Linked DNA regions of Lepisosteus oculatus. The protein of the gene in region 1 purifies or fractionates together with the protein of each later gene. This does not show direct contact. Links are inferred from orthologs where the notes say so. Each region holds a gene or a part of one and is shown in the gene's direction. Other genes may lie near its edges. The genes, in order: kpna4, kif22, mecp2 and nuclear cap-binding protein subunit 1.

Region 1 (7,207 bases):
AAGTTTTTACTGCTTCTGCTTCTGTAGGGGTAGCTGTGAACAAAAGGAAAGCCTGTATACAATCCCCCTGAACTATACCTGGTCTTCAGAAGAAACTGAACCAGGTTGATGACGTTAATAAAAACATCTGTGTCTGTTTTCATAATATACTGAGCGCGGGGACAGAATTCATACATCCAGTGGAAGGCCATCCTTGTTTTCAATGTAAGGTTTTCGTATGTGTCTAGAAAGTCTTGCATGATCAAATCCCTGAAAAGAAAATGCTCCTCTTCCAGTGATAACCGTGGCTTAACCGCTGTCTCCTTTTCTCTACCCAGTAAAAATAACGTTAGAATATATTTCCCCTGCAAATATCTCTTACTGCCCCAGGAAGCTCTGATGGCCATTCTGTGCTCTACTCTGCCTGGTGTGGACGCAACGAAAATGACCAGAAAGGGAACTTTGTGTTTACACATAGAAATCTTAGGCAGCAGAAAGGGTAAACAGGGCCTTCTGACTGGTTCGCTTTCGTAAAAATACAGCCAGTTGATTCCCTGGTTTAAAGCCTTGTTGCTGGAATAGGTGGTGTTTGAGGCCAGACTTCGGTTTATAATTAACAACATCAACGTAAGCATAGTAAAAATGAGTCCAAGAAACAACGTTTTAAGAAACATGTGTTTCATTGCATTGATTCAGACTCGGTTAGTTTTTTTTAAGCGAAAATCCATGTTGCCCTGCGGCGGACTGCTGAACCAGTCCAGGTCCAGAGGTGTATTCTGCCTTGCTCCCGCTGCTTGCCGGGATAGGCTCCAGCTCCCCTGCGACCCTGTGTTGGATAAGGCGGTTAGAAAACGATTGGATGAATGGAAAATAAATGGTAATATATGAAGTTTCTACCTTATGTTTGCTCGCATCTTCAGTGCATATATAATCTGGAAACGATCAAAATAAAACTGAACTATTAATCTGCTTTAATACATAGTTTTAAATAGAGTGAGAAAGGTAATCTTGTGTATCTCCCGATCGTTTTACACAATGGGACATTACACGTGGAAATCCAAGCTAAATGTTATTCCACATTTTGCAATAAATGCATCTCAGTAATGAAGATGCAGAGATATGGCACGCCGACTTAAACCATTACTTTCTGATTTCGGCCTTTACTATAAGTTATCATATCTCGAAGGCTATACTTTTGTGTAAAAGCAAGATAATTCAATTTTGACAGGAAATACCCTCGTTTGATAGTTGAACAATACAAAGGCTTTCAGAACTTTTATACAATTAAAAAAAAGATACGTATGTGGGTGAAAAAAATGTTTTCTCCATGCCTATATTCTATATTTTTACATCTGTATCTTTGAAATTTACCTTTTAAGAAAGCAGGGAGAAAGCAGAACGCTCGGGACGCTTTTAAATAGAAATAATGAGATTTTTCCAAGAGGATCAGCCACCCAAAAAGATTGCATCTACCCTGGTCAAAGTATGCACGTACAGTAAACGTAATGAAGATTAGGGGGAATGCCAATAAATTTAGAAAGTAAACAAAACGACCAGAACGAAAATGACGTCTTAGCTACAGTACAGTTTTTAACTTACCATCTGCAAACCTGAAAAAGATCTTGGAAAGCTGAAGGAATCTTCTCGATTCGTCTCCCGCAATGGTATCCAAAGAGACGATTTGAATATCGCGTAGATTTTTTTAAATGAAGAAATTAATATATTTAAAAGCCTAAAACGCTGACACCAGTTACAAAAATTTGCATTTTCTAAGGTATCAAAGGGGTTTTCAGCGAAATTCATTTAGAAGTATTTGACTTTCTAGCTTACGTAAAAGAAAGAGTTAAAGAATTTAAAACAATTCAAGTCAAGTAAAAGAGATGCAAGTGTTTTTTTAGATTAGCATCTGATGTAGTCATATAATCGTATTGATTCTTCGTGTAAGGTTTCGCCTACACTTGACGGCGTACATGTACCTCCTATTCTTGGTAACGCAATAACAGGTGAGTCTGCGCTTGTGAAAGGAGGTTCCCGCAGCGGGGTGTGGATTTGTGAAACAGGTTAGGGCAGCCTTAACGTACAGTACAATTTACAACTAGGCTGTATGCTTCGTAAACCATATCAGTCTCGTATACTGTGGCGACGTGTGACTATAGGTGGTCTCAATTCGGAGCAATTTGGACTTTTTGGTCGTATCTTGAATTGTAAAATCATCGTCAGCAGCCACATCACCCTGCAACCCACAACTGGCAACCCACTGAAGCTAAGCAGGTGTGAGCCTGGTCCTGGATGGGAGACCTCCCGGGAAAAGAATAGGGGTGTAACCCCGGCGTCCTGGCCAAATTTCCCATTGGCCCTTACCAATCATGCCCTCCTAATAAGCCCCCTCTGGCGCACTATGGCTGCTGTCGCATCATCCAGGTGGATGCTGCACATTGGAGGTGGTGGAGGGGAGTCCCCATTACCTGTAAAGCGCTTTGAGTGGAGTGTCCAGAAAAGCGCTATGTAAGTGTGAGCTATTATTATTGTTAATTGTCCCTTCAAAACTGGGACATCCTCGAATAATAAGGTTTTGGATACAAGCTGTATTTTGACAGCTTTGAATTGATTCCCAAACTGCAGGACAAGCGAGGATGCACACCTCCTGTCGACAGGTCCTTGGCACGCACCTCTCCATCCCTGGATTAGGCTTGTAATAGACCCTGACAGCGAATTCGTGTCGAATGGGATGCTCATTGGACGCGTTATTACGGGCGCCCGCTCCGAGTGGCCAGAAAGTAAAGCGCATCGTCACTGCGAGCGCACGTAGTCGGGTTTCCAAGCGGGGTCGGCGATGGGCCTCGGTGGACCCCAGTCACAGAAAGCTGGCAGTGTTTCTGAGCTCCAACAGTCTGAAGCATATTTGAGGTGCGATTCTACACGATTTAATTCCAGGTAATGTGAAACTGATGAACAAATTGAAATAAGATTGATTCCAGTAGACATGAATATTACTGATGTCCGGGTCATATTTTGCCTAATTCTCAGGTTTTACTTTAACAGTACCCTCACATTCATAAAAATACATCAACTCTTTACCTAAGACGCACCTCCTCAGTGACCTATTTATGCCACAAGAGGACACTTTCATCTCTAAATTGTTACAAGAATTCTGTTTTTTTTTTAATTATAAGAAACTGCATATATAATAACAACTTCTACATTCAGATCAAAACAGTCGCACATGTATTTTGGAATCTGTGCAATAGACTAATGGATGTGGACATGAAAAGTATTTTACACAAAAGTGTGAACTACAATTATCGTTTCAAAGTCTCTAACAGGAAGGAAAATGCTTCATATATATATTGCAAAAAGCTGAATGCTTTATTAAATAAAAATATTTACAGATACAAAAGCAAATGCTGCTAATTGTTGGTTAATTAATTTAATAATTCAGAAGGGGAATAACAGAGCTGTCAGGATATGTTCCAGCAAAACACCAAATTGAACAGAATTTCTATTGTAACGCTTACGGCCGACAAGCACTGTGTGTAAGATCACCGCCCTTCCCTGTGATAGCAGGACCACAGCTACTGGGCTGTGGAGAGATCTCTCTTTAGCTCACAGGGCTAGGTCGCTGCAGAGAGACACGGAAGTCCCGGGTTCGAGCCTCCAGTCGGGATGGGGCCGACCAGATGCGGCAAGGGCGCCCGCCGGAGCCCCCGTTGCGTTACAATATATTCAATAGGATATTCAATAGGAAGATCAATAATAATCAAATGTTTCTAATCATAGAACTGCTAATAAGCTATAATACCACTTCATTATAAACTTAATATTTATGCATTTAATGACATTTAAAAATGCTACAAGGTACCATGCAAGGTATCATATCATGACATCAACACTAACAGCCTATTTTACTACATTATTCCTGTTACAGTCTGGTGCATTGCAGCATAGTTTCTTTGAGGAAAAGGCCGATTCGAATACTAATTTTAATTCGTATTTTTATGTACCCTATAAAACACGTAGCTATATGTAGCTCGTATGCCTTTTTTTTATATCCATGAAAACCAAAGTGCAAGCTGGAATTTATTGCGCTTTATTGTAATTACCGCTGACGAGCGCGTCTCCGAGCACGCGTATTGAAATTAAATTTCCCTCGCTCGCCGACCAATCCGTGACGACAAAGGCCCGCCCCTCCTCCGCCGCGGCCAGAGCGAGGCTGGGCCTGTACCGGCATTCCCACAACCCCCTGCGAGGAAGCCAGAGAAAAGAGTCCGGTAACTGGAGGGGCTGAGAGAAAAGAAACACACGAAAGAGATACGTCGCCCAAATCATAGTAATTACAAATACATATTTTTTTTTCCCCCAACATGGCCGACAACGAGAAACTGGATAATCAGCGGCTGAAGAATTTCAAAAACAAGGGCCGGGATTTGGAGGTATTTGTTTTCTTCTTGACTTTTTCGGTGTGCCTCTCTCTCTCTCTTTTTGGCGAGTCTGTGTGTGTTATTTTGTTTCAGGTTCCGCTGTGACGTCTTTAGTAATTTCCAGGATCTCGAAGTTTGCACCCAGCCCAAGCCAGGCCCCAGCTCCCTGCGGCTTCGACCGAGGCCTAATTCAGCCCCAGCGCTGGGCAGATCGCTCCCTGCCCAGCACGCAAAACTTCGGGGCAGGGATTCAGGGGCTGGGAGGCAGGCCAGGCCGGGGCTCGCTTACTGGGCTCCGCAAACGCCTTTGTTTTTTTTTTATGACTGGAAGAAGCTGGGTATGGTGGTGTGCTGCTCTACCCCCGAAGCTTATTCCGGGGCTGTTGGGAGCTTCTCTGCTAAAGCGAAAGTGTTACTTGGTGCGTCTTTTGTGGAGTTGATTTTTTTTTCCCTTCCTTCTCTCCGCGTGGTTGGAGTTGTTTGGATGTGGCGAAACACGAACAACGATTGATCTAACCCACAAAACTTCCCAAACGTCTGTTTCTAGATCTCTTAAAAAAATAATTCCACGGCGTTCTAGTCTGCAGTCCTTCGTTACCACCCAAGTTAAGAAATATTACGTTCTGGGTAACGTTCTTATTTTTGTTTCCTTTTCTAAAGTCGATATTATATAGCATTGAAAATTGGAAGTCATGTGCTTCTTTTTCCAAAACTTAAAGGAAATCTCTTGAGAACGTGAACTATCTGGTAGATGTTACATAATACTAAGCGGCCCAACACGTCCTAACGTGAGAAAAGAGACGAAGTCTTTCTTTTTTTTCATCTGGTAAAGCAGTTTCCTTGTTGACGCATCAGGCTTTACTTCTGGATCAGACTCCAACATTTGGACTTTTAAATTTTGGTCTTCTGTACTTAATAATGCAAAGGAACATACACAGATCTGTACGGAGGCATGAATATAATGTTCAGACCTTTGTCAGTTTTGGCCAAAACGTCCAATAGTCTGAGCGGACTGTATTTCTACATATATAGGACCATTTAAGATTCTGTGAAGTTCATCATTTCACTTTCCTTAATTGCCACTCAGCCACCCTTTTCATAAAAAAGAAATGAATATAGCTGTGCTGCACCTTTTGTTTTTTTATTTTATAAAGCAATTAAAATGATTGAGGACCATACTCTAAAACATGAGCCATCTAAGCATCTGTATTTGTATTCATTTAGGTTGTTCTACCATTTATTTAAAATTTGACATGCTGTTGCAGGTCTTTATACTTGATTTAAAATGTCTGAGTGTCCCACCCTACATTAATCACCATTAGGATTTCTGAAGATATTTCATGCTTTCAAGCACATCATTTTTCTTCTTTCCTATTAATTCTAGTCTTGGGATAGTGAAATAAAGTGCCCCACCCCTTTTCTGTAAAACATAAACCTGAATCCAGTGCGTTACTGTTAACATCATAGGGATCCACAGTCATGGAGCCGAACTCAAAGTAATAAAATCAGTATCAGTGCTGGCCAGTTGTGAAGTCATACTGAAGGTTTTAGAAATGTCTTGAATGTTACTGTGCTTTTGTGTGCTCAGTGCTGTCCTGTGCCTTGTGGATTAAATTCCAGAGGCGTGTGAGGGATTTCTAAGCTTAAGCCCTGAGTGAACTGCCCCTTCCTGCTACATTACTCACTGCATATGGTATGAAATTGGCTAACTGTGTTACGCTGAAATGCTGTCACATTGCACAGTAAACCATTGTTAAATCCTGGACTCTCTCCAGTGGGCTGTTTTTTTTTAATGAAGAAGGTTTTTTAACCTGAAGAAGGCTCCACGGCCGAAACGTTGTGTTCTCTTTCTTCTTTTTTTCAGCATGGAATAAACCTATTACTTGTTCCTTTGCAGCCTACGCATGCTGACGCAGCTACCCACCTGTTTTTTAATGTTGTCACACTTGATAACCATGTTGTCCTGTACTGTTCTCTGGGTGTGTCACTGAGGTATCACAAGTATTCAAAATGTACAAGGGTGGGAGGTCATTTTAATACTTCATTGCATACTAGAAGCTCCTTTCATCATTTCCAAAAAGTTGTATGTAACTGTTGGAGTGACTACATTTGTCTTAGTAGTCCCTCTGAGAATGTCAGATCTTTCAGATGAGTAGAATATTAAATGTTTTTGTATTTTCCCCCTTATCCAGACAATGAGAAGACAGAGGAATGAGGTGGTTGTGGAACTTCGCAAGGTATTGATTTTCTGATTCATCAGAAGTTTCGTAGTAGCCCTTAACTTTTACAATGTTCATTTGTAATCTAATTGTTTTGGATATGCAATGACGTGTAACTTTTGAATTGGAGATTTGTTTATTAAAATGTGAATGTAATGTTTAGTAACTTTAAAAGTTGAAAGGTATTACTGTCTGTTGAACTCAGTAAGAGCTCAGGCTATATTCTAAAAATGCACAAAATCTGTATGCATTTGAAATTCATTCAATCAAAACTCACAAGCTTTTTTTGTCATTTGTTGTTACTGACACATCTGATTCATAGAATAAGAGAGATGAACACTTACTGAAAAGGAGAAATGTCCCTCATGAAGATATTTGTGATGACTCTGATGTAGATGGCGATTACAGAGTGGTAAGGATTGCTGTTGGTGTCTTCCATGTAAAAGTAAATAGTTTTTCAAAAACTGAAAATGCTAAACTGGTTGCATTCATTACAAACAATTGCTACCCAACTCATTGTGGTGTACCAGTTTTAATTTATTTTAAGCATGTAATTTAATATTTTCATTTTTATTCAATTCTGCATTGGGT
Region 2 (7,563 bases), on another chromosome or scaffold:
AGACTCACCTGTCTCTCTCCCTCTCCTCCCTCTCTCTCCTCTCCCTCTCCTCCTGCCAGTCCAGACTCACCTGTCTCTCTCCCTCTCCTCCTGCCAGTCCAGACTCACCTGTCTCTCTCCCTCTCCTCCCTCTCTCTCCTCTCCCTCTCCTCCCGCCAGTCCAGACTCACCTGTCTCGCTCCCTCTCCTCCCGCCAGTCCAGACTCACCTGTCTCTCTCCCTCACCTCCCGCCAGTCCAGACTCACCTGTCTCTCTCCCTCTCCTCCTGCCAGTCCAGACTCACCTGTCTCTCTCCCTCTCCTCCCTCTCTCTCCTCTCCCTCTCCTCCCGCCAGTCCAGACTCACCTGTCTCTCTCCCTCTCCTCCCTCTCTCTCCTCTCCCTCTCCTCCTGCCAGTCCAGACTCACCTGTCTCTCTCCCTCTCCTCCTGCCAGTCCAGACTCACCTGTCTCTCTCCCTCTCCTCCCTCTCTCTCCTCTCCCTCTCCTCCTGCCAGTCCAGACTCACCTGTCTCTCTCCCTCTCCTCCCGGCAGTCCAGACTCACCTGGCTCTCTCCCTCTCCTCCTGCCAGTCCAGACTCACCTGTCTCTCTCCCTCTCCTCCCTCTCTTTCCTCTCCCTCTCCTCCTGCCAGTCCAGACTCACCTGTCTCTCTCCCTCTCCTCCTGCCAGTCCAGACTCACCTGTCTCTCTCCCTCTCCTCCTGCCAGTCCAGACTCACCTGTCTCTCTCCCTCTCCTCCCTCTCTCTCCTCTCCCTCTCCTCCTCCGAGTCCTCGCCGTCTCCCTCGGGGGAGCTGCTGTGCTCGGGGGTGGGGGGTCTGCGGGGCAGTGGGGGCAGGCTCAGCTCCAGGACGCCCCCCTGCGCGAGGATGCCGTACAGACGCTTGATCTCCTCTGGAGGGGGTGTCCAGTGCTCCGGGTCCTCGATCTCCTCGTCACTGCAGGGAACCCCCCACTCCTCCTTCTGCACTCTGTCCATCTCTCCACCTGGACCAGAGAGAGAGAGAGAGAGAGAGAGAGAGAGAGAGAGAGAGAGAGAGAGAGAGAGAGAGAGAGAGATTCTTACGCAATAAGAAGGAGGCTCTTCAACATCAACCCACCAACAAGAATCTGGCTCCAAATATTTGAAAGTGTAATCCAACCCATTGCCCTATACGGCAGTGAAGTTTGGGGTCCCCTCACAGACCAGGATTACACCCAATGGGACAAACACCCCACAGAAACTCTGCACATGGAGATCTGTAGAATCATCCTCCGTGTGCAGAGAAAAACTCCTAACAACGGGTGCAGGGCCGAATTAGGCCAGTACCCACTATTGATAAACATACAGAAAAGAATATTAAAGTATTGGCTACACCTAAAAAACAGCGACCAAAATTCCTACCACCACAAAGCCCTGCTCAGCCAAGAGCTGAGCCCAAAACAGAGCCCCCTGAGCCAGCTGGTCCTGAGGCTCACCGACCTGAGCCACACTGACACTAACCAGCCTCAGGACAGCACTGCTAGAGCACCACAACCCAGACTCAACCACATCACAGCACAGATCAAACAGCAATATCTCACACACTGGGACACACACACACAAACACAACATAAACTGGAATGCTACAGAACCTTAAACAGACAATACACACTAGCTGAATATTTGACCAAAATAAAAAATAACAAACAGAAACAGACCCTGACGAAGTACAGGCTCAGTGACCACAACCTGGCCATAGAAACTGGGCGACACAGGCAGACCTGGCTGCCCAGAGAGGACAGGCTGTGCTCCCACTGCCAGCAGGGAGAAATAGAGACAGAGGTGCACTTCCTACTGCACTGTGACAGATACTCTGGGATTAGAGAAACATTCTTCCCGAAATTCAGAAATCTAATCCCCGAGTTCCCACACCTGCCAAAACCACAACAGGTCCCAATCCTACTGGGAGAGGGAGGAGGGAACTCAGTTGATCTGGCAGCCCAGTATGTGATCTCCTGTCCCAGCCTGAGGAACAGTGAGTCCGTCTCCCAATAATGCTCCAGCCGCCTACAGTATATGTCAATATTATATAATATGTCTTTGTTGTAAATGTCTGTAACATGTCTGTAGATTTTATTTTACTTCTATTTTTTGTTTTGTTCTATGTTAATTTTATTATTTTTCTTTGCTTTGGCAACACTGATTGTACCCATCGGTCATGCTAATAAAGCATCTTGAATTGAATTGAATTGAGAGAGAGAGAGAGGGGGGTCACCACACACACAGTCTGGACACTGACACTGCACTGAGAGAGAGAGAGAGAGAGAGAGAGAGAGAGAGAGAGAGAGAGAGAGAGAGAGAGAGAGAGAGAGAGAGAGAGAGAGAGGTCACCACACACACAGTCTGGACACTGACACTGACACTGCACTGAGAGAGAGAGAGAGAGAGAGGTCACCACACACACAGTCTGGACACTGACACTGACACTGCACTGAGAGAGAGAGAGAGAGAGAGAGGTCACCACACACACAGTCTGGACACTGACACTGACACTGCACTGAGAGAGAGAGAGAGAGAGAGAGAGAGAGAGAGAGAGAGAGAGAGAGAGAGAGAGAGAGAGAGAGAGGTCACCACACACACACACTGGACAGAGAGAGAGGTCACCACACACACGCACGCAGCACACAGAACACTTTACCTTTATCTCCGTCCCTCTCTCCCTCTCCCTGCTGGGACTCCCCTGTCTCTCTGACACAATCTTCATCTTCCTCCTCCAGCTCTTCCTGCTCCTCTTTCTCCTCCTCTCCTCCGTCCTCAGCCTGCGCTGCTCTCTCTGGTCGCTCTCGCTCCCCAACACCCAGAGACTGGATCCCCTCTCTGAGGCAGGAGTCCGAGGACTCTGCAGACTGCATGAGTCTGAGAGAGAGAGGGGTTAATACAGACACTCCAGTACATGAACACTGCACTGAGAGAGAGAGGGGTTAATACACACACACTGACTGGACACTCCAGTACATTAACACTGCACTGAGAGAGAGAGGGGTTAATACAGATACACTGACTGGACACTCCAGTACATTAACACTGCACTGAGAGAGAGAGGGGTTAATACACACACACTGACTGGACACTCCAGTACATGAACACTGCACTGAGAGAGAGAGGGGTTAATACAGACACACACTGACTGGACATTCCAGTACATTAACACTGCACTGAGAGAGAGGGGGGTTAATACACACACACTGACTGGACACTCCAGTACATTAACACTGCACTGAGAGAGAGGGGGGTTCATACAGACACACTGACTGGACACTCCAGTACATTAACACTTCACTGAGAGAGAGAGAGAGAGAGAGAGAGAGGGGTTAATACAGACACACTGACTGGACACTCCAGTACATTAACACTGCACTGAGAGAGAGGGGTTAATACAGACACACTGACTGGACACTCCAGTACATTAACACTTCACTGAGAGAGAGAGAGAGAGAGAGAGGGGTTAATACAGACACACTGACTGGACACTCCAGTACATTAACACTGCACTGAGAGAGAGGGGTTCATACAGACACACTGACTGGACACTCCAGTACATGAACACTGCACTGAGAGAGAGAGGGGTTCATACAGACACACTGACTGGACACTCCAGTACATTAACACTGCACTGAGAGAGAGAGGGGTTCATACACACACACTGACTGGACACTCCAGTACATTAACACTGCACTGAGAGAGAGAGGGGTTCATACACACACACTGACTGGACACTCCAGTACATTAACACTGCACTGAGAGAGAGAGGGGTTAATACAGACACACTGACTGGACACTCCAGTACATTAACACTGCACTGAGAGAGAGAGGGGTTCATACACACACACTGACTGGACACTCCAGTACATTAACACTGCACTGAGAGAGAGGGGTTCATACACACACACTGACTGGACACTCCAGTACATTAACACTGCACTGAGAGAGAGAGGGGTTCATACAGACACACTGATATTTACCGTTCTCTATCTTCCAAGTACTAAAACAGCGCCGAAGACACTGAGTTGAAGACAAACATGGGACGAGAACTCCAGAGATGGTGATGGCGCAGGATACGATAAATCGACAGTGTTACAACAGGTGAAATTCATGGGTCAATTCAACCCGCCGCGAAGAACGTTTCCAACCTTCGGCGCCTAGTATCCACTGTAAACAAAGCGCCATCTTGGGCCACTTCCTCTTCCGGTTTCCGTCTGTCGTTCCTCTACTTCCGGCCCAGACGTGCGCTCACTCGCTCAATCCCGATTGGCCCGGTTGGTTAAAGACTCTTGTGATTGGTCTCCTTTGAAAGTTGGGTGGGCTCTTATGTCGTGGACGCTACTGCCTCAGCGATTTCACAGATCCGCGACCAATCACAGTCTAAGCCTTCCCGACGCCCCAGCCAAGCACAGCCCCCGGGTCTCTTTCTAACCCCGCCCACTGGAGGTGGCATCTTCATCGCCTCACCCAATCGCAGCTCGCCCTCCTTTCGCTTGCGTGACGTCAGGCCCTTCGGCGGGCGCTGATTGGTGGGATCGCCTGCCGCGAGGCCCCGAGCCCGCAGGTTTGAAAATCCTGTAACGGCCCGTGTTTGTGTGCGGCCCGCGGAGCCGCGCTGTGTCCGGTTTTTCTCTGTGTTTCTCCTGGGTTCATTTCACCTCCTCCACCCGTACCTGTACCCGAGGGACTGAAGCCACGCCGGGAGAGTTTGGAGCCGAGGTTCGGTAAGAGGCCGGCCGGTTCCGATCCGGGGTCGGGGTCGGGGAGTGAATTTCGGTGACCGGGCCGGGCCGGAGGATGAATTCACTCCGAGAAACTGCTTTATTTCTTCTTTTGGGGTTTCTTATTCTTATTTCTTCTTATTTTGGAGTATCTTTATTTCTATGTGGCTTTTTTTTTTGAGAAAAGGGGCTTCTCGGAGCGCTTTAGGGAACAACGGCAAAACAAACAAAACAAGAAACCCGCTCTGAGCCGGTGTCCGTCCGGCGCAGTCACACACACCCTGCACAGAGCAGGACTGAGGTCACACCCCTCAGGCCGGGGGGCTCTCTGGTACCCCTGGGGTACAGCAGGAGAAGCCCCTGCCACCCCCAGAGTGAAGACAGTCTTGGGGGACAGACAGGAGAGCAGAATTAGACGATGTGGATGAGCTCAGGCTGGGGGGCTCTCTGACACCCCTGGGGATACAGCTCCTGAGTGTTGGGGCGCAGCAGGAGAAGCCCCTGTCACCCCCAGAGTGTAGACAGTCTTGGGGGACAGACAGGAGAGCAGAATTAGACGATGTGAACGAGCTCAGGCTGGGGGGCTCTCTGACACCCCTGGGGATACAGCTCCTGAGTGTTGGGGCGCAGCAGGAGACGCCCCTGTCACCCCCAGAGTGTCGACAGTCTTGGGGGACAGACAGGAGAGCAGAATTAGACGATGTGGAAGAGCTCAGGCTGGGGGGCTCTCTGATACCCCTGGGGATACAGCTCCTGAGTGTTGGGGTGCAGCAGGAGAAGTCCCTGTCACCCCCAGAGTGTCGACAGTCTTGGGGGACAGACAGGAGAGCAGAATTAGACGATGTGGACAAGCTCAGGCTGGGGGGCTCTCTGACATCCCTGGGGATACAGCTCCTGAGTGTTGGGGTGCAGCAGGAGAAGTCCCTGTCACCCCCAGAGTGTCGACAGTCTTGGGGGACAGACAGGAGAGCAGAATTAGACGATGTGGACGAGCTCAGGCTGGGGGGCTCTCTGACACCCCTGGGGATACAGCTCCTGGGGTTCGGGGGCGCAGCAGGAGAAGCCCACACTCTGAGAGCAGGCTCAGAGGAGTGGGGGCGCAGGACGAGAGCAGCTCAGACAGGTACTGAGGCGTTGAGCCGTGCAGAGTCTTACAGGTGAGCAGGAGGATCTGGGCCTGGACATGAAACCAGACAGGAAGCCAGTGCAGGGGCTCCAGGACAGGAGTGATGGGATCGCCTGCACTGGACCCGGACAGGACTCTGGACAGACTGGGGTTTGTTCAGGGTGGATTCAGAAACCCCCAGCGAGTGGAGTGTTACAGTGGTCAGTTCTAGTGTTGACCAGTAACGGTTAACGTCGGGCAATATTTCTGAGTGGAAGAAGGAGGTTTTTACCCTCGTGCCCTCGTGCTCGCGCGCACAGGCTCGCGCAAACGTGCCCTCGTGCTCACACAAACATGCACTTGTGTACACTTGTGCCCTCGCCCTGTAGACTGACTGGGTCACAACCGCGGTCCGGTCCGGCCCGGTCTGCCGCTCTGGCGAAGGCATGCCCTCAGCGCCCCTCTCCCCTCCCCAGGTCGCCATGGCGCTGCCTCAGAGGGTTGCCGCGGGCGAGGCGGGGGCGTCACGGCGCCCCCCCCCTGCCCGCCTGCGGGTGGCCGTGCGCCTGCGCCCCTTCATGTCCGCAGAGGACGAGAAGAAAGAGGGGCCGTGTGTGAGGGCTGCTGGGACACAGGGCCTGGAGATCGTCAACTGGAGGAACACGAACGAGACGCTGCACTACCAGTGAGTCCGAGAGAGAGAGACGGGAGCTGTCTGTGTGTCTGTGTGTCTGTGTGTCTGTGTGTCTGTGTGTCTGTGTGTCTGTGTGTCTGTGTGTCTGTGTGTCTGTGTGTCTGTGTGTCTGTGTGTCTTGTGTGTGCCTTGTGTGTCTGTGTGTGTGACAGAGACAGGGGCCACCCCTGACGCTCAGCTCTGCTGCAGGTTTGACATTCTCCACGGGGACAGGAGCTCTCAGCAGGAGGTCTACCTCTCCTCCGTCAGGCCTGTGCTCCCCTTCCTGCTGGCCGGACAGAACGCCAGCGTCTTCGCCTACGGGCCCACGGGGGCAGGTCAGTGTGTGTCTCCTGTCCCCCAGTCCCTCTGTACCCCTCTCCTGCTGCCCTGACCCCTGACCCCCTGTCTTTCCCTCTGCTGCTTCCCTGACCCCTGTCTCCCCCTCTCCTGCTGTCCTGTCTCTCTTCACCCCCAAACCCCCTCTCCTGCTGCCCTGACCCCTGACCCCCTGTCTCTCCCTCTGCTGCTTCCCTGACCCCTGTCTCCCCCTCTCCTGCTGTCCTGTCTCTCTTCACCCCCAAACCCCCTCTCCTGCTGCCCTGACCCCTGACCCCCTGTCTCTCCCTCTGCTGCTTCCCTGACCCCTGACCCCCTGTCTCCCCCTCTCCTGCTGTCCTGTCTCTCTTCACCCCCAAACCCCCTCTCCTGCTGCCCTGACCCCTGACCCCCTGTCTCTCCCTCTGCTGCTTCCCTGACCCCTGACCCCCTGTCTCCCCCTCTCCTGCTGTCCTGTCTCTCTTCACCCCCAAACCCCCTCTCCTGCTGCCCTGACCCCTGACCCCCTGTCTCTCCCTCTCCTGCTGTCCTGTCTCTCTTCACCCCCAAACCCCCTCTCCTGCTGCCCTGACCCCTGACCCCCCTCTCCTGGTGTCCTGTCTCTCTGACCCCTGACCCCTGACCCCTGCAGGGAAGACCCACACCATGCTGGGCAGCGCTGAGCAGCCTGGGATCATCCCGCGAGCCGTCAGGGAGCTCTTCCAGCTGGTCCGCGAGC
Region 3 (7,475 bases), on another chromosome or scaffold:
CACTGAGAGCTGCTGTGTGGGGAGAGGACTGGTGCACTATGGCTGCCGTCGCATCATCATTCTGGAGTGTCCAGAAAAGCGCTATAAAAGTATCAGGAATTATTTTCCGCTCAAAGCTGGGCTCTGGTAGGTGACTTAAAGCATCGAAAAGTGTATCCTGCCCTCTGGTGGACGTTACGGGGAACAGCAGGAGGAGTGATGTTTTTTTTTTTCCTTAGCGCTCATTTAATACGAGACCCGTATTGGAACAGTTGGGGAATTTGTAACGAATACGCGTTGCCTTCATTTGCAGTCACAGGAAACCATGAGCTATTTCAGTATTAATGGGAGCTCACATGGTGGTCGTCTAGAATGATTAAAGTTTCAGCGTTTTCATTTTGAATCTAAAGTAAATCGTTAGAGTAAATGCGTCACACGGTACAGGCAAGGAAATCAGACCCCCATTGCTCAGTAACCAGATCCACCTCAGGCCCCTGCAGTATCAGGAACTTGTGCTCATCCCACACCACGCTTCCCCACTTGCTTTGAGCACATTACAAAAACCGAAGGACCGGACCACGTGCGCATGCTTTTCAAACTACAAACAGGAGGCACTTCTTTACACGAAGAGTGGTGGAGGTCTGGTGCAAGCTACCCAGCCATGATGCGGAAGCCACAATTTTCTTTTTCTAGCAGGGAACAGCGGGGTGAGATGCTGGGATCGGTTAGCTACTAAACTACTGAGCTGGCTTGACGAGCCCAGTGTTTCCTCTCGTTTGTAAAAAAAAAACTATTTTCTGCTCTGCTACAGAACCAGGACCTTTTATTCGCCCAGTACAAGATAGACAAGGAATTTCTCTGGGCGCAGGCGTCGACATCAGTTCCAATAAGATAAAAGAGTAACAAAAAAGCAATCCACAGGTAAAGACAGATTTCAGTGATGTAGACAATTTAAAAGTCTATGCAGTTGATTAATACAGTGTACAGTGAATGCTGTGTATATTTACAGAAAGTATCAGTAGCGTGTGTCGTTAAATGAAAGAGTCATGGCCGGGGGGAGACACCATGCAGCTGTCGGTTAGTCCTGGTTTTTAGGGGTCCCCAGTGGTCTCTGCGGAGAGGGAACACGCTGGAAGAGAGAGGGGCCGGGGTGTGAGGGGTCGTCCTGGACAAGTACACAGCTCCTCGGCAGCTCGCCGTGATCGTCTAGTGCTCAGCACTCTGTGTTGTGGCCTCAACGACCCCGGGTCGAATCCGGGCCACGGCAGGTGTGAACCTGGCACAGCAGAGGAGTTCTCTTCGGGGCCGAGCGGCGGCTCTGTGGCTGAGGATCTGTGGCTGGAAGGTTGCCGGTTCAAATCCCGCGGCTGGCACAGGAATCCTACTCCATTGGGCCCCTGAGCCAGGCCCTTCACCCCAACTGCTCCAGGGGTGCCGTATAAATGGCTGACCCTGCGCTCTGACCCCCAGCTTCTCTCCCTTGTCTGTGTGTCTCATGGAGAGCAAGCTGGGGTCTGTGAAAAGACAAATTCCTAATGCAAGAAATTGCATACGACCAATAAAGTGATCTTATCTTATCTTAACTGCTGTGCAACAGGACTCTGAGCTCTCTCCCTGTCGCAAGAACACGAGGATCACCGGAGAGGTGGAGAGTGACAGGAGAAACAGCCAAGCAGGAACTCTGACCCCTCTAGAGAAGACAGTCCACCTCCAACTGGCTACAGAGGGCCCAACCACACAGCCTGTCTCCCTCGCGGAGCCCAGCTTTGGTCCTGCAGAGCCACAGTCCGACTGGCTGCCCTTCAATCAGCAGCTTGGCAGAGGACCGGTGTGTGTCACCATCACCCTACCAAGCGTAGAGGGTCAGTTAGTTCAGGAATGGGCAGATTCCTTGGTCCAGACAAAGTGGAGTATTTTTAAAGGACACCCAGAAAACCGGCTGGACTGTGGCTCTCTGTCCCGGCCACAGAACAGGCAGATGAATTCAGGAGAGGAAACAGGTTTCAGCACTTCTCACATCTGAACTGTTGGCAGTTCTAAGGGCGTTAGCGTCAGAGCAGGCACTTTTATTCAAAATGACTCATTAACAACCATTCTTGTCTAGGCACAGTTACGGCAGTTACAGTTAAACTGCTACAGGAATATAAAAAAACAACACAAACGAAACATCACAGACGACATCGCTCAGGGTTGCAGAAACTGCTGCTTTAAGGGTGACCATGCTGGACACTTGCTGGACAGGCCCAGGGCTGGCTGTGCTTGCTCTCGTTGGGACAGCCGTTCTGCTGTGATTGGACCCGACTGGACCCGCGCTCAGCGTTGAAGCGTGAGACAGACCTCCCAGAAGCTGCAGAAGGAAACGAGGCCTCCGGCGCCGGAAAAGGGAGGGACCGTTGTGCACGAGGACAGGGTCTGGAATTTCACATCCCAAGACGGCAGGTGAGGCCCGGATCAGTCCGCTCTCAGGTTCAGCTGCCCGTGTGAACAGAACAAAGCCCACTGCGTCTTTCAGAGATCTGAGCGATGTCGCATCAGTGTGTCTGCAGTGGTGTCCAGTCCTGGTCCAGGAGGGTCGGTCAGTGTGTCTGCAGTGATGTCCAGTCCTGGTCCTGCAGGGTCGGTCAGTGTGTCTGTAGGTGTTCCAGGTCTCCTTAAAGCAGCAGCACCAGCAGACTGACCAGCCCTCCGGGGGAAGGGGAGGACCGGTCTGGTCTGGTCTGGTCCAGTCCGGTCCGACTGAATCAAACGTCGCCCCTCCTGCCTGCAGTGTAACAGCATGTCTCATCGCTCTCCTGCCTTGAATTCCTTAATTCCCAGTCCACCTGCGTCTCCTGCAGGAGAGCCTCAGTCTTGGAGCGGCTCGGTTTAGGGGTCTCTGGGGTCTGCCACAGGTCCCCAAAATTCCCCTCCCCCCCGCTCTCTGCCTCTGGACCATTAAGGGGGAACCATCCATACTGTGGAAAAACGAGTGATTAGACTCGACCCCCCAAAACACAGAAGGCAGAAAAGCACCAGTGTGTGCTAGCCCCATGGGAACAGCATAAAATACCGAGAGCCCTCCCTTGAAATACCCAAAGTATATCATGAGGAACCCTGTCTAACTTTAGAGTGACACTTTAGGATAACCTTGACCAATCATGGCCTCCTTATAACCCCCCTCTCTGGACTGGCTTCATCACTCTGCTCTCCTCCCCACTGAGAGCTGGTGTGTGGGGGGAGGACTGGAGCATCATCCAGGTGGGGCTGCACACTGGTGGGGGTGGAGGGGATCCCCATTACCTGTACAGCGCTTTGAGTGGAGTGTCCAGAAAAGCGCTATAGAAGTGTAAGGAATTGTTATTAATCATTATGGATTTCACGGCGCCGGTGGCATACAGTACCCTGCTCGGACACCTCAGGTGCATTTTCATTCGATTTTATTGGAATGAACCAGCGAGCAGCGGTGTTTGGGCTCAGAAGGATTCTCTGCATTCGTCTGCATCACAGTCGACGCAGATTTGCGGTGTTTTCTGTACGCTGACACTGAAGGCACAAGCGGCTGTAGTCCCCTCGGAAAACGACCCACGACTGATCTACAGGCTCCTGCCCCACACCTCGGGGCAGTTTCCCGGAGAGCCTGTGTCTCGCTGTCGAGCCGCTTTCGCAGGGAGACGTGGAAGCCAGCAGGTGCTTTTCCCCTTCCATCAAACACTATCTGGGAAAATAATGCGCTAAACTACTCTTTTATTTATTTTAAAGTGTTTTTGACCCATACCGTCGTACAAGTCAACAAGAAAGTAACCTGTTTTATTTTATTTATTTTACTATAGCTACTTTACTTGCGTTCAAATCTACGTATTCTATTGCACAAGACGAGCTTCATCGCCAGCACAGCGGCCAGACTACCGCTGGACCGTGGTGGAAGACGTGCACAGGCGCGGAACAACTACACCTGCGCGCCGCAAGAGTTTCAGGAAACACCCAGCCTGCAAGAGAGCACAGACCCAAAGTGAAACTGCTGCGGCTGACCCGTTTTCAGAGCTGCGACAGTTCATGCTGCTGCGTTAGAAACAGTTTTCGCGGAAACGCGGCAGGATTTCTTCTTTTTGCGTCGTCTCGTCGGGACGCCCCTCTTTGGCTGCTGAAGGGCAGGGCAGCGCTGTCCCGTCCCCCCCCACCCTGAATTAAAAATGCCAGTTGAGCTAACGAACGATGTAATTAAATAAAAACCTGGTCTTTTCCTCGCCACCTCTGACCCTCATTCATTCCGAAAGCCGCGGCGACCGGACACACGAGGCGGCTGAACCCTCTCTCTCGCGCGCGCGCTGCAGGAGCTCGCGGCGACTCCCTCGCGTCCTCCGCGTGCGGGCCGCCTGGGATGGGCGTTCACTTCTGGTTTTTTTTTTTTTAAACGCTAACGGCCACTCCGCCGACCTGCCGCCGGTAGTTTCGAGAGAGAAAAAACACACACCTCGTTTTAATTTTCCTTTTAATCGTCCCACGCCCCCCGCCGCCGCGACAATGAGCCTTGCCTCGGGTACCGGTCCAATACGCCTCGTTCACCTCGAGGTGGGAGTGAAAGGGTAAGTTTATCCGTCGTATTTTTTATTTTTTTCCTGGGCGCTTTGGTATACTTTTCGAAAGGAGGAATTGGCCGGAGTTTTCCCACGTTCGTATTTTCAGCGAATAAAAAATCCCCCCCCCAAAAAAAAAAGTTATTTTCGAGGTTTGAAACCTGCCAGGTATCACTGCGGTAGGCGAAACACTCAACTCTTTTAACGCGGAGACTCAACTGTTCACGGGCGAGCTTCAGTTTATCGCTGTAAATTCCTTTAAAATCGGGGGGAAAACCCCCACAAAGACATACAATTCTGAATCTCCGTTTCGCACTTAAAGATGCTCGGTAATCACTTTTGTACAGCAATACGTTTTTTTCCGCTTTCTTAGCTTTGCTAGCTATTCAGTTTCAGTTTGGCTGTAAGCAGTCCGTACCGCCTGGGTCGTTTAGGAGATGAATGCGCTCCGGTGTCGGGATACACATTTTTATTGGCAAAAATGCGTCGCCGTTCACAATAACGTTGTCATTGTTCTGTACATGTTCAGTATAAGTCTAATGAACGGATGTCTTCAAAACCGTTTATCTGCGTTACTCAGAAAGCATTTAACACCATCTCCCTAAGCTGAAACAGTTTCACATGATTTCAAAAAGGGAGTATCCTGTGAATAATTCAACTCCTTTACCTCCTATGTATAAACAGAAGAATGTGAATACATGTTAGGGTTTCCTGTTGAGGATTTCTTTAAAACTTAGTTTGCGCCATTTCTCAAGTTTTACAATTAGCTTTTAGATTCACCGCTGAAATATGGAGCGACATTGTTCACTCTAGGTGTATAAAGTTTTCCCGCGGTTGTAATTTTAAATCGTACAAGGAAACAAAATAATAAACCTGCTACCTTTTCCGATAGACCATGAGTACTCATTCAAAAACTCGGGAATAATGAACCAACGACTGAGCTGAGTAAAAGCCAATCAGTTCGGGTTTTAGTGGACTTTCAAACGAAGAAGCTGCGCTCCAGACACCGCTGATGTTTGGACGGATCCGTTTCTTCGACCAATCGGAGCTGACTGGCATTTTTTTTAACCTATCAGCGCCTAGATAAGGCAATTGAGTGATTTTCTGGCAAGCCAATGACATTCACCGTAGATGAGTGTCGTTTCTCGTAGCCAATCAACGGCAGGACTTGGTCGTTGGGGGCGGGCTACTCCGGGGATCCTTTTCAGCGAGAGATTTTTGACTTCGCAGTTGCCATAGAGTTCTCGCGGGAACTCCGGGCCCCAGCCTGTAGTTTCCTATGGGCTAGATGGTGTAATCTCGCGAGAGCTACACTCACCGATGGGAGGGTGATGTGGGGAGGGGGGGGCTTCCAAAAGATGTGTAGTGAATTTTTTTATTTATTTATTTAAATATAAAAAATGGCCGCCGCAGAGAGCGGAGAGGAGAGACTGTAAGTGTGAATTAAAAATATTTCTCCCTGTGTCTTTTTAGATAAACGAGAAAGCAGTGGAGTCGTACAATGTGCACTATACAATTCTCTGTTTTAAAGAATTGCATATCTTCTTTGCTCACGGAAGGCGGGGTAAATACCCCATTAAAGGGGAGTATTTTCACCCGCTTTTTCATCTCAGTGGGGTGAGAAAATCAGTATTTGCGCGATTAGTACAGGGAAGAGGTGTGTGTGTTTATATGTGGTTATTTTTTATGTGTCTGTGAACTCAGTCCTGCATTGTTACGAATATTATTTTGCTTTATTGGTGTAGATTTCTACTTAATGCATTATTTTCCTAACTGCATCCCCACCCCCTTTGTAAGTAGAATTTAAAACACAGCTTTCTGTCTGTTTGGCTCTGAAAAGAAGTACACGGGAAGGACCGTGTTTTGATTTTCCTTTCCGTGCTGGTAACACTTTGAATAAAGGGTATGGGTGAGCTACTGGGCAGCTTTTCTCTGCGTATCAGAAAGTCCTGTGTGATTCGGCACCCTCACACAATGCGTATAAATAATGAACTTTTTGGATTTGAAAATGACACGCGATTAAATATGAGTCAAGATTGGTATTTTTTAACATGCAGCTGGGTGGTGTTTGTGTCGATGTTGACCGTTTTATAGGCAAGAAAAATGAAAGTGTATTTTGATTCCTGAACGTGTGTTCGTTTATGTGTATGGAGTGTGTTTTTTTCCTCCCTTGAAAAAGACCAGACTGGTGCACACGAGTCGATTATTACGTACAGCACAGATTAGATATATTTTAAACATTTAGACGAATCTATTGTTACAGTTGTCGGCACTGAAAGTTTTGTTTTAACAAGCTGTGTTTCTTAGAATTGGAAAAAGACACCTCTAGCTTCTCAAATACACTGAACAGGCTTGTTGCGTCATTTGTTATGCTAGGGGAAAAAACACTGGAGGTTAACATCTTTCTGCTATTAGCATTTCCGTTTCAAATCCGTGCTGTGTGCGATACAAATCCACGCGTATTTTTGTGTTTTAACCAGAAAAATGAAACGGCAGTTTCTGTCCTTGGAGGGGCTTAGATGGGCTTGGAACGATCCATCTGTCTGAACTGTGCAGTGTGTGATTTAACATTTTGCCACGACCAAAAAAAAAAAACACACAAATGCCCTTGTTTTTAAACTGAGAAATTTCAACTCGAAACGTCTAGGGAATAATTTTATGCGACATATCGAAGTGTGGTTTTGCTGATTATTGCTAAGAAACGCGGATGTGAGAGGTTTTATTGTCAGGATGCGGGATAAATACACCGGTGTACTTAGCATTTCAGCTCGAGTGGCGCCGCACACAGCCGTCTTCAAAGTGCGTCATTGTGTAGAAAGACGGTCATATTTTTGGGAAATGTTTTGTAAGGGGTGGGGGAAAAAGACGTGTTTGTGAAATATTATTTTTTCATTTCATATCTAAGAATTGTTCTTTTTTTAATTCACAGCCCTGCTCCTAATA
Region 4 (7,906 bases), on another chromosome or scaffold:
GAAAACATGGACACTTCAAAGTATTGTGAAGGGCTTGTCAATATCCTAAGAATTATATTTACAAAATAGTTTCTGCTAAGACATGGTACAATCTGTCAAAATGCTGCTGAGGAAAACTCAAGTTTATAGCCTAAATAGAAGACAGTAATTTCTGAATTCTAAATTAGGATGTAATGTTGAATGGTTCGAGTACAATTTGGTACATCTTGACCTTTATTTAAAACACTAGATTTCCAACAAGTTGAAAGCAAAACAAGTATTTAGTAGAAACTAGATCTGAAACCTGCAGTTGAATACTCACTATTTTGCTCTCATAAAAGTTCCTGCAGTCCAACAAAATCGTGTCATTGCAAGATTCATATTTAGATAAAAAAGCTTCAACTTCCTTGTGAAACTCCTTTGGTTCTAAGTGGGTTCCTGCACAAAAATGAACACAGATTCAGAATAAAAAAAAAAATTTTACTCCCATTTTACATCCATAAATAGATACACTGCATTCACAAAGGATAAATAGATTTAGAAAAAAGGCTGTATGTTATATACATGTGTATATAATTGTATGTTGGTACAATTAACACAAAGCTTAAATAGCAATGAAACTTTTAAAGATGATCTTTGGCGTCTAGATCTAGAGATATTTGTTTAAACCAAATTTAAACCAAAATTCTAATGTATCTGCGAACAAGACTAGACAGCAAAAACATTTTTTTCTTTTTATATTTAAGGAGACAATAAATCTTGTCACCTTATAATAGCTGTATTTTAATATACTTACCGGCAAGCCTATAAGAGAGTATGTCTGGGTCCACCCCCATGGGGACTATTTCTTTAAACACTCCCACCTTCAGGTCCGGGAAGCAGTGAGCCCCACCCTCACTGGTCTGTCAAGGCACACAGTGTAACCTGGCACATGAGTGGTGAAATACTTGCTGACAAAAAACATCTAGGGCTCTTAACTTTGCAGGTAAAGAGGTCTTAAGGTCCATTGGTGCAAACAAGATGACACCCTTTGCCATAACAAATGGGTCTGATGGTGCAAATAAAGGCCCTTGTGCTTAAGAGGTCTCCAAATTCAATCATTTCAAAGCTTACCGCATAAGAATTAAGACAACCCAAATGCAAAAACCTTTGAAGAGCATATAACAGTTGAACATTTTTCATTTATGTACATTTCCGTTCTTGCTAAAATGCATGGTGAATATAAAAACATAGTTTTAAAAATAAATAATTGTTTCAGCTATTAAACCATGGGATGGATGAGAGCAGATGCTTACATCTCTGTAATAGCGATAAATAGTGAAAATGGATAATCAACATTTCGTGTAGTGTCAATTAAATTATATTTTACTCAATAATATTGATTTAAAATGTCATATATCCTGAGATGTTAAAAAAAACCTGCACAGAACACTGAGAAAACAGTGAATGCCTTTTTAGTCTAAATTAAACCCATTTGAGAGTGTGACTTGGCCTTACACCAGTTAAGTAATTCATCAATTAATTCACCACATGGAAACGTGTCCAGTTTCATATAAAAAGAACTGTGATTACAACCTTATCCCAGTTCTTTATCACCCTAAGATATGTTTTCACTCAATAAGCACATCATTAGAGGAGAAGTAGAAAACAAATTGATATCTTCTTACCTTGAAATCATCCAGGCACATGATTTTGAACACTGGGTGGGAAAGCATTGCCTTAATATATAATCCGGTAGCCACTTTGCTGCCTCCTACTGTTCCATTAATTCCTTCTGTGGCAACTCGAATCTACAGACAAATATAGACGTATGGACTTTGTATGAAAACAAACAGCAATGGCTTTGGGGTGTCAAAGGAGATGACTGAACGAGTGGGACCTGATCTAGTTATCTTGCAGTGAGGGCGCTCGGGATTTTTTCCTAATTACATCACAGAAGTGAATGAAATTTTTTGTGTCGCTTAACAGCCTTGAATGGTAGAAATAAAGGCACTTACAAGTTTAGAACTGGTAGGAAAAGGCACAGGACCAACATACACATACATATAGAGAACAACAAACACTACAGTACAGACTGAAGACAGTACTGAGTGAATTCAAGACCTGATCTCTTGGTATCTTCCTACCTTTGAACTATATCACCTTTGAACTGTGATATATTTTTATAGTGCTTACCCACCTGAACTATCTTCCTACCTTGCCTTTTAGGTGCAATTTTTGGCACAGTGCCTTCTGCCAAGCACAGATTAGGTGGGGTCCCTCCACTTCGCAATAGCAGTAATACAGCAGCACTTCACCTGGTCCCCTGGCCAGAAATAGGGGACAGAACCATGAAAATTCAATATATTCACAAACCAGAGTGACATTTTCACACTGTTTCATTATAACTGCAACAATCCAGACTCACCACCATGCAATAGTGTACGTCTTTCATGTTTTGTAAAACAAATTGGGCTTTTGAACTGTGATATATTTTTATAGTGCTTAAGAACAGAACCAAACATCTTTACCCATCAAGCTCTGCCTCGTTTAAGTAACTGATGTCCGGAAGCCAGAGCTGCATGTCCATTACTTCCACTGCCGCAGGTTGGGCTGACGTGTTGCACTCTTTCACATTGCCTCTGCTCCCCAGGAGCGTCAGTATGGCCTTTGTGTGTTCCTGAATCTCCAAATCATGTGCCCTGGCAACGTGCTTGTGGATGGAAGCAGGATCCTTGAAGGTTTGGTCGCAACACTGCCAGTGCTTGTCTGACTGAGCAGAACGCGAATCTGAACCAGATGCTGAAACTTTCTTCGAGTCCACAAAAGTGGCAAATGCCTTCAAAGAAAAATCACTCAAGTCACCCGTGTTGCATTTACTCGGATACGTCCTCACAGTGAGCATTCAAGCCTGCTCTTTACCACCATTTGCTTTGCTCAATGGAAAATATAATAATAATTACTACTTATGCGTGAGCTTAACAGTCTGTCAGTATGTTACTACATAACATGTTAAAACGTACAGTAAAACCACTTCAATTCAAATGAATTTTGTGTCCAAATCACTATATTCTCTCAACTTGCCATAAAAAACCTACGTCGCTGTGCATACAGTGAGCCAGTGTAGTCACAGAGGGGCGGTACATGAGGTCACTCGATCTCAGCAGCTCCAGAAAGGGCTTCAGTAAACTCTGTCATTATAGTTCTGTGACACTCCCTTGGTCATGGTAAAAAATGTTCTATCAATTCTTTGTGATTAAGTTTGCTAGTACAAGTGATCATGGAAATTACTGGATCCTTATTACCATTTTCTTAAATCAAGAAAACAAATTCTTCAATACTCAAGGGTTTAATATTCAAATATAAAATGATAATCTATTATGAAATGAATTTGTACAGCGACCTGTGTAGCTTTAAAGATGGAAGCTGCACATTGGTGGTGGTAGAGGAGAGTCCCCATTACCTGTAAAGAACTTGAGTGGAGTGTCCAGAAATGTTTTATATAAAATGTAAGAAATTATGAATTATTATGATAAAGATAAAAACAAAAAAGATCTCCCTTCCACACTAAGCAGTAAACCTGAAACCCACCATAAGTGAACATCTTACCCTTTTCTTTGCGTATGGAAACATTTTACGTAAGCTAGCTTCATTTGGGGCTTTTGAGATATTTGGAGTTTTGTTGGTAAAGTTCTCATCATCGAGCTCAGAAAACAACAGAGTGCCAGGTTCATCTTCAAGAATACCAGAGGCTGAAGACATTTTTGATGTTCAAATGGTCTCTTCAGCCTCCTGTAAGAGACAAGAGGAAGGTGAACAGAATTGCTGTTAGAACAGAAATAAAGATATTGCTTTGCCATGTAATAAGCCAAACCAGTCTATGTTAGAAAGGATTACATAAATCTGTGGATTTAATTAACATTCATTAAAAACAGATCACAATTTTAAAGAACTTAAGAAAACACAACCACAAAAAACACAACATCTAAAACATTATAAACAATAAAGCAATAACTTCGAATCTATAAAAAAGTAGTATTTTATTTAGCGCATAATTGTTGTTTCAGTTAATATAAACTGCGGGTAATTATCTGCACTGATTCTGGTTACAATATAATTCTTAATGCTAAGGGTTCCTTCTAAAAACAGCTTCTAAAAAGACATCCAAGATGACTTTCATGAAAGATAAAGGGCAATGGAACTGCAGCCTAAAAGTGAAACTGAATACCAAGAGAAAAGAATAAACAAATGTAAACCAGTAATTTATCCATTTATCCTGAAAGAACGGCACAAGGTAGGACTGAGAACACATCACAGGACCAGGTGTACAACACAGAAATTTCCAACAATTTACGTTTCCTCAACGTGTAAAAACGTTGCGTATAAATATAAATTATGAAACTTCGATTTTCAGTGTGCTTAACTTACTTTTCACGTTAACACATTGCAGAGCATCGTGTTTACTGAGGGGGTATCGTTTATTTTTATGTCTAACTTTGCACGTGTGAAGCACATATAATCAGAGACGGCAAAAAACCCAGAATCAGCTGTTTTATAATACCCTAATTATTCCGGGTCTTTTAGCCCAGAGTTCTCCATATAGTCTGTTCGTAGTACTTGATTCACATTAGATTAAGACAATATTTTTTCTGCCACCATACCACAAAACTACACATCTGTGTGTACACCATGCAACTACTCTCACTAATACAACTAAAATCTCGTAATCATCGTTTTACATCCTCTTTCACGTCTCGTCAGTTTTTAAAAAGGTAACCGAACAGAAAGAAATTGCAAAAGTTATAAAAACTCGTCACACCTTACAGCGTCAGCTCCTACGGAGGACAAATGGCATTACACGCCACTTTACTTGAACCAGGGAAGTGTTTCCTGTGACAGGCCGCCTGTCCTCCGGATGAGATTGTGTTCAACTTCAGCGCCATATTGCGGCGTTTGAGGCTGTGTGTGTGTGTAAGGAGCTGTTGTTTCTAGAGGCGTGTGGAGCGTTTTAACCTAGGCGGATTTCGCGCTGCAAGTACAAGATCAAGACGTTTGAATAAGGGGACCGACTGAACTCTGTTACATCTTTAGAGGATTTACCTTTATAATTAAATTAAAAAATGTCAAGGAGGCGGCACAGTGATGAGAATGATGGTAGGTGGTTTTTGTATTAGTTTTGCAATTGAGGCACTGTCCACTTTTGATACATGGCTGTCCACTATCGATCGATGTGCTGTGAAATTTTGTTGACGTCTCACCAAAGAAAGTGATGCAAAGCAGTTTTTAATTGAGAAAATCGTTATCGGTTATGATATGGCCGGTAATAAAATAAGCCTCGCTATTTTAGTAGGAAGTGAAAAAATAAGCAGAATGCCCATTTTTCCCATTTGGAGCGGTTAAATCGAACTTTGTAAAAGTTAATTGCTGTCTTTCTGATAATGTAATAATAAACTTATGAATTATTCATTTATAGTCGTGTGGAAATAGGTGCATAGAGATCAAAGCTACCGCTCATTCATTTAGGGTGCTTGAATACTTTCTATGGCAGATGTAATGTTTGATTCAAATGTTGCACTTCTGAGCGGGCTTTTTTCTTCCTGCAATACATTAGCTACTCCAAATAGCCCACAAATTACAGTTATCTGTATAGCATATGTATGAACATAAATACGGAAAACATTTGATAATGCAGAGTAGATTGAATGTTGCACATAGACTGTAGGCTACAGCTTTGTTTTCCTTGTGTGTCTAGTAACCAGGGACCGTAAGTAACTTTAAATTAACATGAGTTTTAAAATAATATATTTTTGAGAAGAATACATAAAGTTGTATGATGATTTAAACCACCTTTAATTGTTCTATTACATTTTCTTTTCCTTGTAATTTAAAAATAATTGCCTTGAGTAACATTTTGGCTCATTAAGTTTTTTCCCCCCCTTAGGTTAGCATTGCAATTAGAGCTTAAGTAATCTAACTGGGTCTTCTTGATATAATACAAAATTCTTCAGTTCAGATTTCTCTTGAGATTCTTTCTCCAAGGCAATCTATGTTCTCCTCGCTTTCTTTGAGCATATGCAACTTAGAATGTTGATAAGCATAATGTTTCATATAGTGCTCTTTCTAATAGGAGGGCAACCTCATAAACGGAGAAGAACATCAGAACCCATTGAAATCGAAGATCGTCTTGAGTCACTAATATGCAGAGTAGGCGAAAAGGTAATTTTTACACTTTTTTACAATTGAAATAACACTTTTAATTAATTAAGCTGGTAGTCGTACCATTTACTAATCACAAACTGGGCTTGTTTTTATCTGATAATTTACTTTCTTAAAACATGTTAACCTTTCTTTTCAAAATACTGCCTGCTCACAAGTTGAATGTCGTGGTATTTAAGAATATGGATTTACTGCATTTCCAAGCTTTTGTGAAGCGCTTCCTTACAGCATTGTGTGCATATTGCAGTGTTGTGTATATAACGTTTAGTGGAAACCTGAACTCGATGATCTAGTTAAAGTGTTCTCTGATATATTAGCACACCTAGCCTGTATGTTGCAAAGTGGCAGGTTTTTCAGCAAATCTAACATGGGATTGGATTTGTATCATAACTGTGCTTGAATGTGCCCATCCTTAGAGTACGTCTTCATTGGAAAGCAACTTAGAGGGCCTGGCAGGCGTCCTGGAGGCTGACCTTCCAAATTACAAGAGCAAAATTCTGCGTATCCTATGTGCTGTGTAAGTGTTGCCCTTTGTGTTTTAATTTAAACTTCCATACCTGTGTTTGTGTACTTAAAACATCTCACTGGACACTTTAGATATGCATATACAATATAACTTTGATATTCACAAGGTTTTGCAAAGTACTACATTCACAATTTGGCAGATAAACTAGTCACTAATAAATATCTGCATTTGTGTGGATGAACTTTATTACAGTAAAGTAGTGCTGTATTTATAATAGTAATAAAAACTGTAAAAAAAGGGAAGAAGATACGCTTTATTAAGAATGACAGAAACACTAATGCAGATTAGTTCAGGTGGGTAGCTGCGTCAGCATGTGTAGGCTGCAAAGGAACAAGTAATAGGTTTATTCCATGCTGAAAGAAGAAGAAAGAGAACACAACGTTTCGGCCGTGGAGCCTTCTTTGGGTGTGAGCCTTCTTCACACCTGAAGAAGGCTCCACGGCCAAAACGTTGTGTTTTCTTTCTTCTCTTTTCAGTGTGGAATAAACCTATTACTAATACAGAGTAAGCTGTAATGGTGATCTAATTTATTTGTTTACATTTGCAACAACTTGAAAACAATTTAGTTTACAGTTCATTTTCATTAAATACTTTTTACCGGTAGGTGCTGGCACTATTTCTGAAATTCTTAAGTTAAAAAAAAAACATTACTACAGAAATCCTCTTTTGACACGCTTCGCTGTCCTGTTTTCTCCATTAGGTGTTGCATTCCACATTCGCAAAATCATCATTCTTAGAGTCTTCAGTGTACCTAATGCTCATAAATACTGAGGTTTTGTTGTATGCTATACATATGTTAACAAAAATTTGTTAGATGGCTGAATTGCCTCCTTTCCTTCCTAATCTATCCTTATGTTCAAAGGATAATGGACTTGGATATCAAGGGGTAGATTTTCTTGACAGGCACGTATAACTTTATTGAGAAAGTTGATAGTTATTTTTATTCAGCTAGATTTCATAGCACTACATTTAGGTTTGATAAAGCAACCAGTGAAACGCTAACCCCAAAAACTCATAGGAAAAAATAATAAGTTTAGGGCATAAGATTAGATTGGCTAAATCCTGGAAATGTCTTTCTCAAAAACACTCAGAATCAAGTATGATCAATTTGCATTTTGTTGCAATTTGACAAGCTTTCATGTATGTCTCTGTGTAGGTGTTCTATGTTTAATGCTATGTATTGAGCCTGTTGTTTTATTATTAGGG

The links.
Region 2: the proteins of kpna4 (region 1) and kif22 purify together in Homo sapiens (affinity purification with mass spectrometry; 3 studies listed by BioGRID and IntAct, counting the BioPlex papers as one, with this or other methods). This does not show direct contact. The link is inferred for Lepisosteus oculatus from reciprocal best matches to the Homo sapiens genes KPNA4 and KIF22.
Region 3: the proteins of kpna4 (region 1) and mecp2 purify together in Homo sapiens (affinity purification with mass spectrometry; 3 studies listed by BioGRID and IntAct, counting the BioPlex papers as one, with this or other methods). This does not show direct contact. The link is inferred for Lepisosteus oculatus from reciprocal best matches to the Homo sapiens genes KPNA4 and MECP2.
Region 4: the proteins of kpna4 (region 1) and nuclear cap-binding protein subunit 1 purify together in Homo sapiens (co-immunoprecipitation; 3 studies listed by BioGRID and IntAct, with this or other methods). This does not show direct contact. The link is inferred for Lepisosteus oculatus from reciprocal best matches to the Homo sapiens genes KPNA4 and NCBP1.

The regions. Positions count from the first base shown.
Region 1 is NC_090708.1:5,989,290-5,996,496, forward strand, and holds the start of kpna4 (importin subunit alpha-3), read left to right. Parts: upstream 1-4,200; 5' UTR 4,201-4,340; coding exon 4,341-4,409; intron 4,410-6,589; coding exon 6,590-6,634; intron 6,635-6,938; coding exon 6,939-7,028; intron 7,029-7,207. Other genes in the region: UDP-GalNAc:beta-1,3-N-acetylgalactosaminyltransferase 1, read right to left, coding at 1-662. UniProt on the Homo sapiens protein: Functions in nuclear protein import as an adapter protein for nuclear receptor KPNB1. Binds specifically and directly to substrates containing either a simple or bipartite NLS motif.
Region 2 is NC_090699.1:2,406,925-2,414,487, forward strand, and holds the start of kif22 (kinesin-like protein KIF22), read left to right. Parts: upstream 1-4,545; 5' UTR 4,546-4,731; intron 4,732-6,309; 5' UTR 6,310-6,315; coding exon 6,316-6,518; intron 6,519-6,716; coding exon 6,717-6,844; intron 6,845-7,476; coding exon 7,477-7,563. UniProt on the Homo sapiens protein: Kinesin family member that is involved in spindle formation and the movements of chromosomes during mitosis and meiosis. Binds to microtubules and to DNA. Plays a role in congression of laterally attached chromosomes in NDC80-depleted cells.
Region 3 is NC_090697.1:75,512,616-75,520,090, reverse strand, and holds the start of mecp2 (methyl-CpG-binding protein 2), read left to right. Parts: upstream 1-4,457; 5' UTR 4,458-4,479; coding exon 4,480-4,541; intron 4,542-5,932; coding exon of another isoform or gene 5,933-5,964; intron 5,965-7,475. UniProt on the Homo sapiens protein: Chromosomal protein that binds to methylated DNA. It can bind specifically to a single methyl-CpG pair. It is not influenced by sequences flanking the methyl-CpGs.
Region 4 is NC_090696.1:29,818,649-29,826,554, forward strand, and holds the start of nuclear cap-binding protein subunit 1, read left to right. Parts: upstream 1-4,901; 5' UTR 4,902-5,078; coding exon 5,079-5,112; intron 5,113-6,085; coding exon 6,086-6,174; intron 6,175-6,590; coding exon 6,591-6,691; intron 6,692-7,906. Other genes in the region: thiosulfate sulfurtransferase/rhodanese-like domain-containing protein 2, read right to left, coding at 302-417, 776-881, 1,647-1,769, 2,176-2,284, 2,490-2,797, 3,568-3,720. UniProt on the Homo sapiens protein: Component of the cap-binding complex (CBC), which binds cotranscriptionally to the 5'-cap of pre-mRNAs and is involved in various processes such as pre-mRNA splicing, translation regulation, nonsense-mediated mRNA decay, RNA-mediated gene silencing (RNAi) by microRNAs (miRNAs) and mRNA export.